Linked DNA regions of Mus musculus: all the other regions are reported to be linked to region 3. The links are microRNA targets in miRTarBase. Many come from high-throughput screens and were not tested one by one. Region 3 holds a microRNA gene; each other region holds the end of a gene's coding sequence.
What was found. The annotated mature microRNA mmu-let-7e-5p reads UGAGGUAGGAGGUUGUAUAGUU and lies in region 3 at 1,569-1,590, shown strand. An mRNA with a match to its seed (bases 2 to 7 or 8) in the 3' UTR can be bound and repressed. Matches are read on the target gene's strand: a 7mer-m8 pairs with bases 2 to 8, a 7mer-A1 pairs with bases 2 to 7 and ends in A, and an 8mer does both.

Region 1: miRTarBase lists Col27a1 as a target of mmu-let-7e-5p. Seed matches in the 3' UTR shown: 7mer-m8 at 3,154-3,160 and 7mer-A1 at 2,309-2,315.
Region 2: miRTarBase lists Lins1 as a target of mmu-let-7e-5p. Seed matches in the 3' UTR shown: 7mer-A1 at 2,758-2,764.

What each region holds. Positions count from the first base shown.
Region 1 is chr4:63,332,993-63,337,057 of GRCm38, reverse strand. Col27a1 (collagen, type XXVII, alpha 1) reads right to left here. Exons shown (of 61, transcript NM_025685.3): 61 at 2,067-3,896. The coding sequence ends at 3,750. All of the region lies in intron 1 of Gm52743 (a long non-coding RNA gene), which reads left to right. Among named protein-coding and RNA genes, the nearest start is that of Orm1, 9.5 kb to the left of the region's middle.
Region 2 is chr7:66,714,323-66,718,387 of GRCm38, forward strand. Lins1 (lines homolog 1) reads left to right here. Exons shown (of 8, transcript NM_152815.2): 8 at 1-2,934. The coding sequence ends at 331. Among named protein-coding and RNA genes, the nearest start is that of Lins1, 26 kb to the left of the region's middle.
Region 3 is chr17:17,828,798-17,832,863 of GRCm38, forward strand. Mirlet7e (microRNA let7e) reads left to right here and starts at 1,555; the gene lies at 1,555-1,647. It overlaps Spaca6 (sperm acrosome associated 6), which reads left to right and starts at 2,178. Exons shown (of 9, transcript NM_001162909.1): 1 at 2,178-2,465; 2 at 3,262-3,342. The coding sequence starts at 2,207. Mir99b (microRNA 99b) reads left to right here and starts at 1,391; the gene lies at 1,391-1,460. Mir125a (microRNA 125a) reads left to right here and starts at 2,015; the gene lies at 2,015-2,082.

The DNA of each region.
Region 1 (4,065 bases), not on the chromosome of region 3:
ACATATTTCAAAATTATTTATACAGCCAAAAGAAACGTAGACAATTAATTTGGGAGGTGGCTTGTGAGAACAACAAAGAGTGAGACTGAATGTTTTGCTTAATATTTATAATTATTGTATCAATTTTGAAGAAGAGGACCTTATAAGTTACTCTTTTTCTGAGATGAGTGCTTTTCAAAATCATCACAGCCAATGAACCAGAATCTTAGGTGAGGACCTAATGTCTGTGCTACCCTCCAAGCAGAACCATTGTTCATTGAAACCATTGTTCATTGATGAATGACTTCATGAATAGACCATCTTAAAACACACACCATTTCTTAAATGAATGTAACCTGTTCCCTGTGGGCTGAGAATGATGACAATCACTCAAGTCAAATAGCTTTGACCATAGCAGGAAATCTGTATCCAAATAATCGAGCCTACAATTCATTCCTTGGCGCAGCAGAACTGTCAACTCTTAGCTTAGCTACTATGGAGGTAAAATCCTTTGGTGATGTGAGGGACATTGAAATACAGCCTTATTACAATGAACTCCAATGTCTAAAAATTGTTCTTATTTTGGGTTTGTACCACAGTAAGAGCCAAGATTTTAAAGCTCTACTAAAAACAAAACAAACAAACAAACAAAGAAACACAAAAATTTATCTATTTATGTTCATTTAATAACATGCCCACCATTTTTATGATTGGCATAAAAATATATATATTGTGTTGAATATAATAAAAATAGTTCAATTTTTAAAAATATCTTTTAATTATAAAATAACATTACCTGTCATATTCTGTGGATCTCTGATGCCTTTGAAGACCATCTATCTATATATAGCAGAACTGAATTGTCAAATATTGATTATTTTTAGCTAGTTACTATTTGAATAACTTTGAAAACACTTTATTGTAATTAGCTAAATTAGAATCTAATATGGCCATGACTATCAACTTGTATTAATTAATCATACTAAACAGTTTGTAATAGCAGCTATCAAAAGGACTGGGTCTAAGTCTTGTGTTCTTAAATGAGTTGCACAGACACAATGCCCATCTAAGAGTAACAAAATTAATTTTGAATTTTATATCAGTATACAAAGATTTATACCCATGAAAACTTTTTTTAGATTATTCATTTACTATATGTGAGTACACTGAAGCTGTCTTCAGACATACCAGAAGAGGGCATCAGAACCCATTACAGATGGTTGTGAGCCACCATGTGGCTGCTGGGATTTGAACTCAGGACCTCTGGAAGAGCAATCTGTGCTCTTAACCGCTGAGCTATCTCTCCAGCCCCACCAATGAAAACATTAAACCTGTATCAATATCCAAAATTCTGTACCAGTGTAAGAAATATATAACTTCAATTCTGTGTCAAAATGTAAAACAGTAACAACAACAACCAAAACACAAGTGTGTACCACAATGTCTGACTTTTTATGTGGGTCTGGGACTTGAACTCTGGTCTTCACACTTGGACAGCAAAGTCTTTACTAACTGAGTCATCTTCCCAGCCCTGGTATGTGGAGCTTTAAAACCAGGCCCTGTGGCGAGAACGTCCCCTTCCTTCTTGCCCAAACAATAGTTCACTTGGTGCTGCTGTACCCAGGACCACATTTCTGTAGTAGATCCCAAGTAAATTGCACCCTGTATAGCTACTTCTTTTCTTTGCTCTCATGGCACCTGTAGTAACTAAACATTCTGGGGAGGGTTGACCCAGAACAATGAGATGTAACAGTATCGCTGTCAAAATGAATTTAGAAACAATGTATGGTTCAACACCAAGTGCAAACCCCTGAGCCCCATCCCCTGAGTTTGGAGTGTAGCTGGAAGAGGAGGGACCATGACAGGACTGCTCCAGGCTTAGGGGCTTGGATAGAGAATGCCTCTTCCTACACTGTGACGCCCCACTTTCAGACCTCTGGGCAGACAGCACTTCTATTGTCCTGAGCTTTAAGCTCCAAGCCCCAGTGAGGATCTCTGCTTCAGCAGGACACCCTCCACCCATCTTCTCACCTTCTGCAGAAACTGCCTTTGAGCACCGTGAAGAAGCATCAAACCACAGACTCGTCTTTCCATTGCTCAGTTTTAAATATTTATTTAAAGTCCAGAAGGGAATGGGAAAAACAGAACCCTCTGGGGGTTTGAACACACTGACATTTAGACAGAAACGAAAGAACAACAGCAAATGCACATCAAGTGACAAGAAGACAGAGTGAGACACAGGAGGGGGCACGGGGAACAGACAACAAAAAGCACAACTAGGCTTGCGGGACAGGCCGGGACACACAAGCAGTATGCAGGTGGGTGGGAGTGAGGTATTAAATAACTAAAATGGAATCCAATTCCCCCACAAGACACAACTTTAGAAACACACAAATATAGACTATCACATCCATCTTTCTTCTAAAAAAATAATTCTATAATTAAAATAACTTCAAAATCCAATTGGAGTCCTGACTTGTTTAGGTGGCATGGGCAGACAGATGGGGATCTTGTAATTGTTCCTTCCTCCCCCACCCAAATTGGCACCTATGGGAAAGAACACGGGGTTTCTACACAGCTGTGCAATGTTGTAAAAGCAGTAAGGTTTGGCTGCACTCGAAAGGTTGGGCTCCCGGGAGGGAAGACCTTGGGACAGTCACCTGGCTTCAGGGATGGCTCTGGACTTAGTCCACCTCCAAGATCATCGCTAACCAAGGATCTTCCTCAAAACCAAGAAGTCTTTTCCCAGGGCAGGTTTTCTAAAGGGAACCAAGTCCCTCCAGAAGCAAGGAGGACCACATCAAAATGCCCCCTCAAAAGACGTACGCTTCAAAGCCCAGAATTAGCAGAAATCTCTCTACTTCTGGTTTCTAGGAGGATTTTTTTGTTTTGTTTTGTTTTTTCTTTTTCTTTTTTTTTCTTTTCTTTCTTTTCTTTTTTCCTTTTGTTCCTTTTCAACGGATTACACGGGTGGGCTATGCTAGTAACATTTTTAACTCCTCATTTGGAGGAGAGAAAGAGAAGTGGGCCAGGCCCCATTCAGAAAGTTTCTTTAAAGCCTGTGGCAACAGAAAATAGTAGCACCTTCAGAATCTTAAATAAGTTTCTTTTTCTCCTTAAAAAAATCACATACATTACAAGAGACAATTGTGAGCACCAGCGATTTCACAGTGGGAGGTAGCACACAGCACCCCAGCCCAGGGGTCAGCACCCTAGTCTAGGGGCCAGCATCCCAGCCTGGGGGACCTGCCTCTCCACACCCCCAGCTTCTCTTGCTCTTCCTCACCTCTCCCAAGTGAAAAAAATAGTAACACACCTTCTCTTTGTTTAAATAATATATATAGATTTCTTTCCTTTTCCTCCTCTTTTTTTTTCCATGTCTCCTTTCTAATATTGCACATCGAAAGCTCCCTAGCGGGAACCAGCTGGCAACATGCCCCCTTTCCTTGAGGTGGCATCAATGGGGAGGGGGTCTTTGGGCAGCTGGGGAGCAGGGATGTCTACAGAGCTGGGCAACAGGCCATGGGCTGGAGTGGGCTGCAAACCCAGCTTGCTTTTGACTGGCTCTTTGGTTGGTTCTTGGGGCTGAGCTGGGATGGGTGGTTCTCCGGGACAGCCTCAGACCTGTTACTCCTTCTCAACTCCGGCTGAGCAGATAACAACTAGGACCTGCACCAGGATCCTAAGGCAAGGGCCTGCATCTCCTGGGACCAGCTGTCCCCATCTCTTCCCTTTCCCCACAAGGCTTAGATGAGCCTAGAGGTCAGAGGTCAGAGGAAGCACGCAGGTCCAACTTCCAGGCGGTACTGCTTCCCTGATGAGACAGGCGGGAGATTGTCCACACTGACGATGGGCAGCTGCTGGGGGTCCTGGGTCCGGAAGGTGAACAGTGTCTGATGCCAGCGGCCATCATGGACCTGTAAGGAGGCAGAAGATGACAGTGAATGTGATTCTTGACATTTCCAAATGCATCTCCCATCTTTCACTTTCAGGGGCAATGATTTGCAGTTGACACATCTGGCTTGGCTGCTTCCAATTTTTAAAAAATTGTTTTTTGAATATTTTAGATTTTGATTTTTTTTAGTT
Region 2 (4,065 bases), not on the chromosome of region 3:
AAGTGAGCATTTAGCAAACAGCAAACAGACATCTTTATGTCAAGAAAGGTCTGAGGAGATCCAGGGCCTGCCTAGGACATGGGAGGAGCAAAAGGAACATAGCCTGGAGCCTTTGCTCTCTGCAGAGTCCAGTTCTCCCTTCTCTGCCAAGGGTAGAGTTGCTGCAGACGGGACTGTCTGGCAAGTGGGATTGTTTCTTCGTACAGTGAAATGCCTTGAGGAGCTACAGGGAGCAATTTACCGTTTGCAGGAGAAAAATCTCTTTCCATATAACCCAGCGGCACTTCTGAAGTTGTTGAAAGGTGTGGAGGCCAAGTGTGTTAACGTCTGAGCCCTGGGTAACACAGCAGCATCTGTCCTCGGCTTTGTTCTCCTTGATAGAAAGCGTCTACCTAAGATAAATAAAAACAAGCAAGAACTGCAAACATGCGTGTCTGGGTCTTTGCCTTATGGAGCATAGTAGTGTTTGAGAAAGGACCATCCCATGACAGGTCAACTGGCCCAGCTTGCTACAGCTGAGAGTTTATGCTAGTTCAGACTACACGGAATTCGCCATGACAAATGACTGCATATTCTGTAGCCCAAACTAAGTAAGATTTATCTTCTGAGCTCAAGAGGCCAGAAGCTTAAAATCAAGATGTGCAGTGTAATGTCCTGGGACGCTGCACATCTTATCCATGATGCATCTCCATCTCTGCACGCTCTGCATCGTTTGCTACCATGGTTATTTTCTCTTCTGTTTTGAGCATAGCTTTCCAGCTGGAGTAACATTGTCTCGTTGTAGCTTTGATTTGCCCTGCCCTGATCGGAGACATCCACTACTCCTCCTTGTCCAAAGATCCAGTTTCAAGTTGAGGAAGAAACCCTGTCTTAAGGCAGAAAAGCCTAGTCAAATAGAAGTGTGGATGTCAAAACGGTTAGGGAGACATGTTGGTGAGGCTGTGTGTTGTCAGTGTGTACTTGAATTTTTAACCTTGATTTGTCTTAGTCACAGGCCTTGCAATGTTGAGGAAAGCTTTGGACTGCAGGGCTTGGTAGCCGTTCCTGCTTCCTTTCTCTTTGCCGTTGGCTTGTTCTCAAACTCCTGTGTGCAGCCCTCTTGCCTCAGCTTCCCCTTGGCAGCTCACTACTGTCTGTAATGCCTCAGGGGAGTTGACACCTTTACACAGATATTCATGCAGATAAAACACCAATGTACTGAGATAGAAGTAAATAAAAATGTAAAACTAGGATTGTACGTTGTAAAAGACAAGACTAGGCATTTCATTGGAATATTACAGACCTGTAAAGAAGAATGCATTGTGTTCATGCTGTGGATATGAAACTTCTCCACTCAAAACTGAAAAGAATATACTGGGCTTCCATTTGTTTAAGAAAAGTATTGGGCAGGAGCAGAGACATTTACATCCTCGTGTACTTATATATATAATTACCTTTTGGTATCCAGAGGCATGGCTTCCAGGACCCATCGCTACCCCTATCATGAAACCAAAATCTACTGACAGTCTCTTTATAAAACAGCATGCGATCTTCATACAGCCTACATACATCCACCTAGATTCACTTACACTCACACAAGATAAGTTCTGGTTGCACTGTAACATTTAATTTTTTTATTCACTTTACATCCCAATCACAGCCCCTCCCTTCTCTCCCCTCAGTCACACCCTTACAAGTCCCTCCCCAGCGCCCCTTACGTTCTCCTCAGAGAAGGGGAGCCCCCCTGGCTACCACCTACCCTGGGACACCTGGTCCCAGCAGGACTAGGCACAACCTCTCACTGAGACCTAACCAGGCAGTCCAGTTAGAGGAAGGGAAACCAGTAAGAAAGAGGAGACAGTCCCTGCCCCAGTTGTTAGGGGACCCACATGAAAACCAAGCTGCACATTTGCTACAAGTGTGTAGGGGGCCTAGGTCCAGCCTCTGAAAGCTCCCTGGTTGTGGCCCAGGCTCCATAACATCCATGGTCCCAGGTTAGTTGACTGTAGGTCTCATGGTGTCCTTGACCCCTCCAACTTGCTCACTTCTATCTCCAACTTTTCCACAAGAGTCCCAGATCTCTGCCTGGTGATTGGCTATGGGTCTCTGCATCTGCCTCCCTCCGATGCTGGATGAAGCTCTCAGGAGACAGTCGTGCTAGGTTCCTGTCTGCAAGCATAGCAGGATATTAATAGTGTTAGGGGTTGACTCTTTCCCATGGAATGAATGGGTCTCAGCCAATGAGGCAGTTGCTGGTGGCTGTTCCCTCTGTCTCTCCTCCATCTTTATCCCTGCACGTCTTGTAAGCAGGACAGATTTTGTGTTGACGACTTTGTGGGTGGATTGATGTCCCCCTCCCTCCTCTGGAAGTCCTGCCTGGCTACAGGAGGTGGCCTCTTCAGTCTCTTTATCCCCGTCTGGTAGGAATCTCAGTTAGGGTCACCCCCATAGACTCCCAGTATCATCTCCTGTCCCAGGCCCAGCTAATCACTAGTGACCCCCCCATTTCCATTCTCACTCCCAGCCTTCTGCAGCCCCCCACCTCTTGCCACACCTGATTGACATGATTGCTTCCCTCCTCACGCCGTCTTCTCTCTTCATCCACCTCCAGTGGCTATCTATTTCCCCCTTCTGAGTGAGATTTACACATCATTCCTTGGGACCTACTTTATTACCCAGTATCTTTGGGTCTGTGAATTGAAGCATGGTTATCCTTCACTTTATGGCGAATGTCTACTTATAAATGAGTATATATCATCTGTCTTGCTGGCTCCGGGGTACCTCACTCAGGATGATATTCTCAAGTTCCATCCATTTGCCTCAAAATTTTATGATGTTTTTGTTTTTAATAGTTGAATAGTATTCCACTGTGTAGATGTAACAAATTTTCTTTATTCTTTATTTCTGTTGTTTGTAGTTTCTGACTATTATGAATAAAGCTGCTATGAGCATAGATGAGCAAGTGTCCTTGTGATATAGTGGGGTATTTTGGGGGTATAACTGGATCTTGAGGAAGAACTATTCCTGGTTTTCTTAGAAAATGCCAAGTGATTTCAAAGTGGTTGTACAAGTTTGCACTCTCACCAGCAATAGGGGAGTGTTCTCTTGCTCCACATCCTCACCAGAATGTTCTATCAATTGGGTTTTTGATCTTAACCATTCTGATTGGTGTAAGGTGGAATCTCGGGTTCATTTTGATTTGCATGTCCCTGATAACTAAGGCCACTGAATATTCTTTAAGTGCCTCTTGGCCATTTAAGATTCCTCTATTGATAATTCTATTTAGCTCAGTACCCAACTTTTTAATTGGGTTATTTGGTTTGCTGATGTCTAATTTCTTGAGTTATTTATATATTATGGATATTAGCCCTGTGTTAGATGTAGGGCTGGTGAAGAACTTTTCCCAATCTGTAGTCTGGCATTTCGTTCTATTCTTTGCCTTATATTAGCTTTTCAGTTTCATGAGGTCCCATTATCAATTGTTGATCTTAGAGCCTGAGCCATTGGTGTTCTGTTAAGGAAGTTGTCTCCTGTTCCAGTGCATTCAAAGCTAGTCCCCACTTTTTCCTCTATTAGATGTAATGTATCCAGGTTTATGTTAAGATCTTTGATCCACTTAGGCTTGGGCTTGAGTTTTATACAGGATAATAAATATGGATCTATTTCCATTCTTCTACATGCAGACATCCAGTTAGATCAGTACTATTTGTTGAAGATGCTTCCATTTTTTCCATTGTGTGGTTTGGCTTCTTTGTCAAAAATCAAGTGTCCATAGGTGTGTGGGTTTATTTCAGGATCTTTGATTCTATTCCAATAGTCAACTTGTCTATTTCTATACCAATACCATACAGTTTTTATTACTGTTGCTCTGTAGTATAACTCAAGATCAGGGATGGTGATACCCCCAGAAGTTCTTTTATTGTTATTCAGGATTGTTTTAGCTAATCCTGGGTTGTTTTTCCATATGAAGTTGAGAATTGCTTTTTCAATCTCTGTAAAGACTTGTGTTGGAATGTTGATGGGAATAGCATTGGAGCTATAAATTGCGTTTGGTAAGATGATAGGATTCACTGTGTTAATTCTATG
Region 3 (4,066 bases):
CTCAGGCCGAAGACTGGTCTCAGGTCCCCCGCCTCCTCTTTTGCTTCTCCGCCCTCTTCCCGCCTCTCCTCCCCCTCCTCAGCAGGTCGCTACCCCGGCCCAGGGCCCCTTCTCAACCCACCCCCACTCCATCCCCACTCCACCCCCATTTCCAGACCTGGCTCCGAGCAGCAAGGGGGAGGGAGAGAGAGAAGAGAGAGAGGGAAGGAGAAAGGGAGAAGAATGGGGGGAGGGGATGGAGAAGAGGGAAGGAGAAAAGAGAGAGAGAAAGGGAGAGACCCCGGGAGGAGACTGGAAGATGGGAGGAGGGTAGAAGCTAGACTAAATAAAAAAGCAGGGAGGAGAAAAAGAGAGGGAGATAGGAATCCAGAGAAAAAGAGAGACAAAGCCAGGGAAGGAAATGAAAGAAGATTGTGAAAAAGAGGAAGAGACTTGAGAAGTAGATATAGAAGATAGGAGGTGAGGAAGAGAGGTGAATGTAAAGAGGGTCAGCTAGAACAGAGACAGCGGGAGGAGCAGGCATTCAGATATGGGCGAAGAGGAAAACCTCATCAGGGATGATACAAACAGAGAAAGAAAGGGAGAATAAGAAAAGAGCAAGGTAAGAAAAAATGGGTGGAGAGAAAGAAACAAGAAGACGGACATGGAACCTGGGAGCCCCAGAAGACCAGTTCTGTGCTCAGAGCCTCAGGGTGGGTGCAGGTCCTAGGGCTCCTCCCACCTGCCGACAACTGACTTTGGTCTAGTGGCTTCCCCTCTGGGGGCTCCTGTGTGCTGGGAGCGACCTCATTTCTGAGTTGGGAGGTGTTGAGGAGACAGGGTCCTGGTTGGTGTCATTATTCCTTGACCATAGCTATCACCCCAAAGGTTGAGAATGGTTTTGGAAAAGATAGGATTATTCCATGAGACCCATGAGGACTTCTGATACTCAGAAGGCCTTTAACTCAGGCCTGGGATATGAAACCTTTAGGGGTTACAGAAGGGGCTCAGATTGCCAAGACAAACGGGGATACATCCTTTCTGCAGTGCAGAAGTCAGGTCTCTAACCAGATTGTCTTCTCTAAGGGATGTGCCTGGTTGGACCCTGAGTCTGCCGGGGAGGGCTATGGGGTGGAGGAGAACTGTGAGGGTTAGGGACTGAGTCCCTGGGTCTGGACTGAGGAGAATTGAGTGCAAGGCGGCAGGGTCTGCTTCCCTGGATCTGTGGGAGGGAGGGCTGTGACCACTACCCCTTAGTCTAAGGGAGGAAGCTTTGGGACTGAGGGAGGAGGGCTGAGGTCTGGATCTCTGGCCTTGAAAGAGGGGGGCTGGGGCTTAGATTTTGGGGCTGGGACTGAATTCCTGGGTTCCTTGGGGAGGAGGGGGCCGGGGGCCCGGACTCCTGGGTCCTGGCACCCACCCGTAGAACCGACCTTGCGGGGCCTTCGCCGCACACAAGCTCGTGTCTGTGGGTCCGTGTCGGGGGCTCACCATCGCGGCTGGGACCTCCCCGGCCCTCCCCACCCTCCCTACTTCTGGTCTCCCATCAATCCATCTGTCAATCTGCCCACCTGCCGCGCCCCCCGGGCTGAGGTAGGAGGTTGTATAGTTGAGGAAGACACCCGAGGAGATCACTATACGGCCTCCTAGCTTTCCCCAGGCTGCGCCCTGCACTGGAAGGGGCCGGCGGGGACCCCAGGTCCACACCATTGCCCAAGAGTTCTTGATAGGAGCTGGGGTGTCTTCTCTGTTCACATTCTATCCTATCCCTTTTCTTTGCAGTCTCTATGCCATCTTGAGATTTTCGAATTTTCTGTCTCTGTCTCTTATGCCAATGTCTCTAGGGTTCTAGAAGCTTCTGTTTCTCTAGTGCTGTGAATGTATCTCTGTGACACTGGGTTTCTGAGCTTTTTGAGGCATCTCCTGGTTCCTTTCTATCTTCTGGGGCTTAGGGTATCTGTTTCTGTCTCGCTTCCCCGTTCCCACCTCTGGGGAAAAGGGTTTTTCTGGTCCACCATAGCTACACTGCCGGCCTCTGGGTCCCTGAGACCCTTTAACCTGTGAGGACGTCCAGGGTCACAGGTGAGGTTCTTGGGAGCCTGGCGCCTGGCCCAGCCACAAATTTAGGGATTTCAGGTGACCCCTGGCAACCTTCCTCTAGCTGGAGCCTGATGCTTGACCATCATTTGAAACTCAATCTCTGATCACAGGCTCCCCCTCCCCCACAATGACCTCACAAAGGTCACTATCTTCTCCTCAGACCCGGAGACCCTCTGTTATGGGTCTTATTTCCTTAGTAGGGAGCATTGTCCTGTTGTTCCTGCTGATCTTCAGGGCATCCACGTGGGCCTGTCTCTTCTGCTTCACTACCTATGAGGAACGCCTCCGTGTCTGCCAGCTGTTTGTGGGCAGAGAGGAAACCAAGATAAACCTGTGCAGAAATGAGCTTGAAGGGGCTTTTGAAGATCTCAAAGACATGAAAATCAGTGAGGAGCCCCTCCTTCCTGAACCAGGGCCCTGGGGAGGGGAAGGAGATTCCTTGAGCTACTCCAAGAAGAAAAGCCAAGTACAGGATCATGACATAGACACAGAGAAGAGAGACAGGTGGAAACAATGGAAGGAAACAGGTCCAGAGTGGGGTGGAGACAGACAAAACAGTGCCTCAGAGAGAGTCTAAAGACAGTAAGGGAAAGAGATGGAAAAGTAGAAGCATTGCTCAGAGAGAGGATATGGATTGGGAACACAGATGAGTGGGGAGATTAGAGACCTGGAGAGAGGGACAGAGAGCTAGGAATCAATCCAGAGAGATGAGAGACACACAGAGAGTAAGGTACATAGAGATAAGACAGGAACAGAGTCCCAAAGTGAGGGACATAGGTATAGATACAGAGAGTAGTTTCAGGAAGAATAGAGAGACAGTGATCTAGAGATAGGTGGGACAGAGACCAATGGGGTTGGAGTAAAGATGTAGATGAGGAAGCAGATCCAGGGTACCAGGTAACAGGCCTAGAGAGAGAGAGATTAGATGGATGGAGAGATACCAAGATTGAAGGTTTAGGTTAGGGTTAGGGAAACACACACACACACACACACACACACACACACACACACAGAGAGAGAGAGAGAGAGAGAGAGAGAGAGCTCTAGGTGGGGCACATAGAACAATAGACTGGGGCTATAGAATCTGGGATGATCACAGGGCTTGGAGATATTCAGCCATGAGTGGGACATAGAGAACACCATGGAACCAGGTTTGTGCCATGGTGTCTCATCTACCTTCAGACTATGATGAGAGGAGCTACCTGCATGATGAATTTACACAGATGACAGTTTCTCTTCAGGAGAAGGCTGCTAGACGACGGGGTGAGTGTTTTATGGGCATAAGTGGTGGGGAAAGTCATCTTGAGGAAGTGACCCTGGGAACCTGTCTGAGTTAGGTTATTTGTTGAGGAAACTCCAGAGATGAGGGGAGTCAAAGATGGCAAGGAACTGAGGGAAGTAAATAAGTCACAGGGAGTCTGAAGCTTTTGTGGGGTCAAGTACATGTGACCTATCTGGGATTCTCACTGTCAGGACTCTGAAGCCTGGATGTGTTCCTGCCTCTCAACCTGGGTTCCAACTACTCACCTGTAAGATAGTAAATTTCTTAGGCTCTCAGATTGAGTCATTCTTGTCATCTCTGAAGGTGGGACATTCTCATCTCCTAGGGTGAGACATTCTCTTTATCTCCCAGAGAGGTCGGAGCTCATTGGGAAGGAATGGTTCTTTTTTGAGATAGGTGTTATAGAAGATATGATCCCTTCAAACAAAACACACACACACACACACACACACACACACACACACACACACACATTGCTCATGGCTAGTGAAGATAGGAAGAGTGGAGCTAGCCATTCAGGGGAAGACATAGACATAGTCAGGGCCAGACTCTTCCTGGGACATTAGAGAACACCATACACATGTAGCTGTATGGAGCAGACATAAGGATCTGAGGACATGAATTTCAAAAAGATGTGATTAACACTAATCACACCAGATGCTCCCAACTGCTGGGCACACAGTCTCTTAAGTATATTAGATAGGA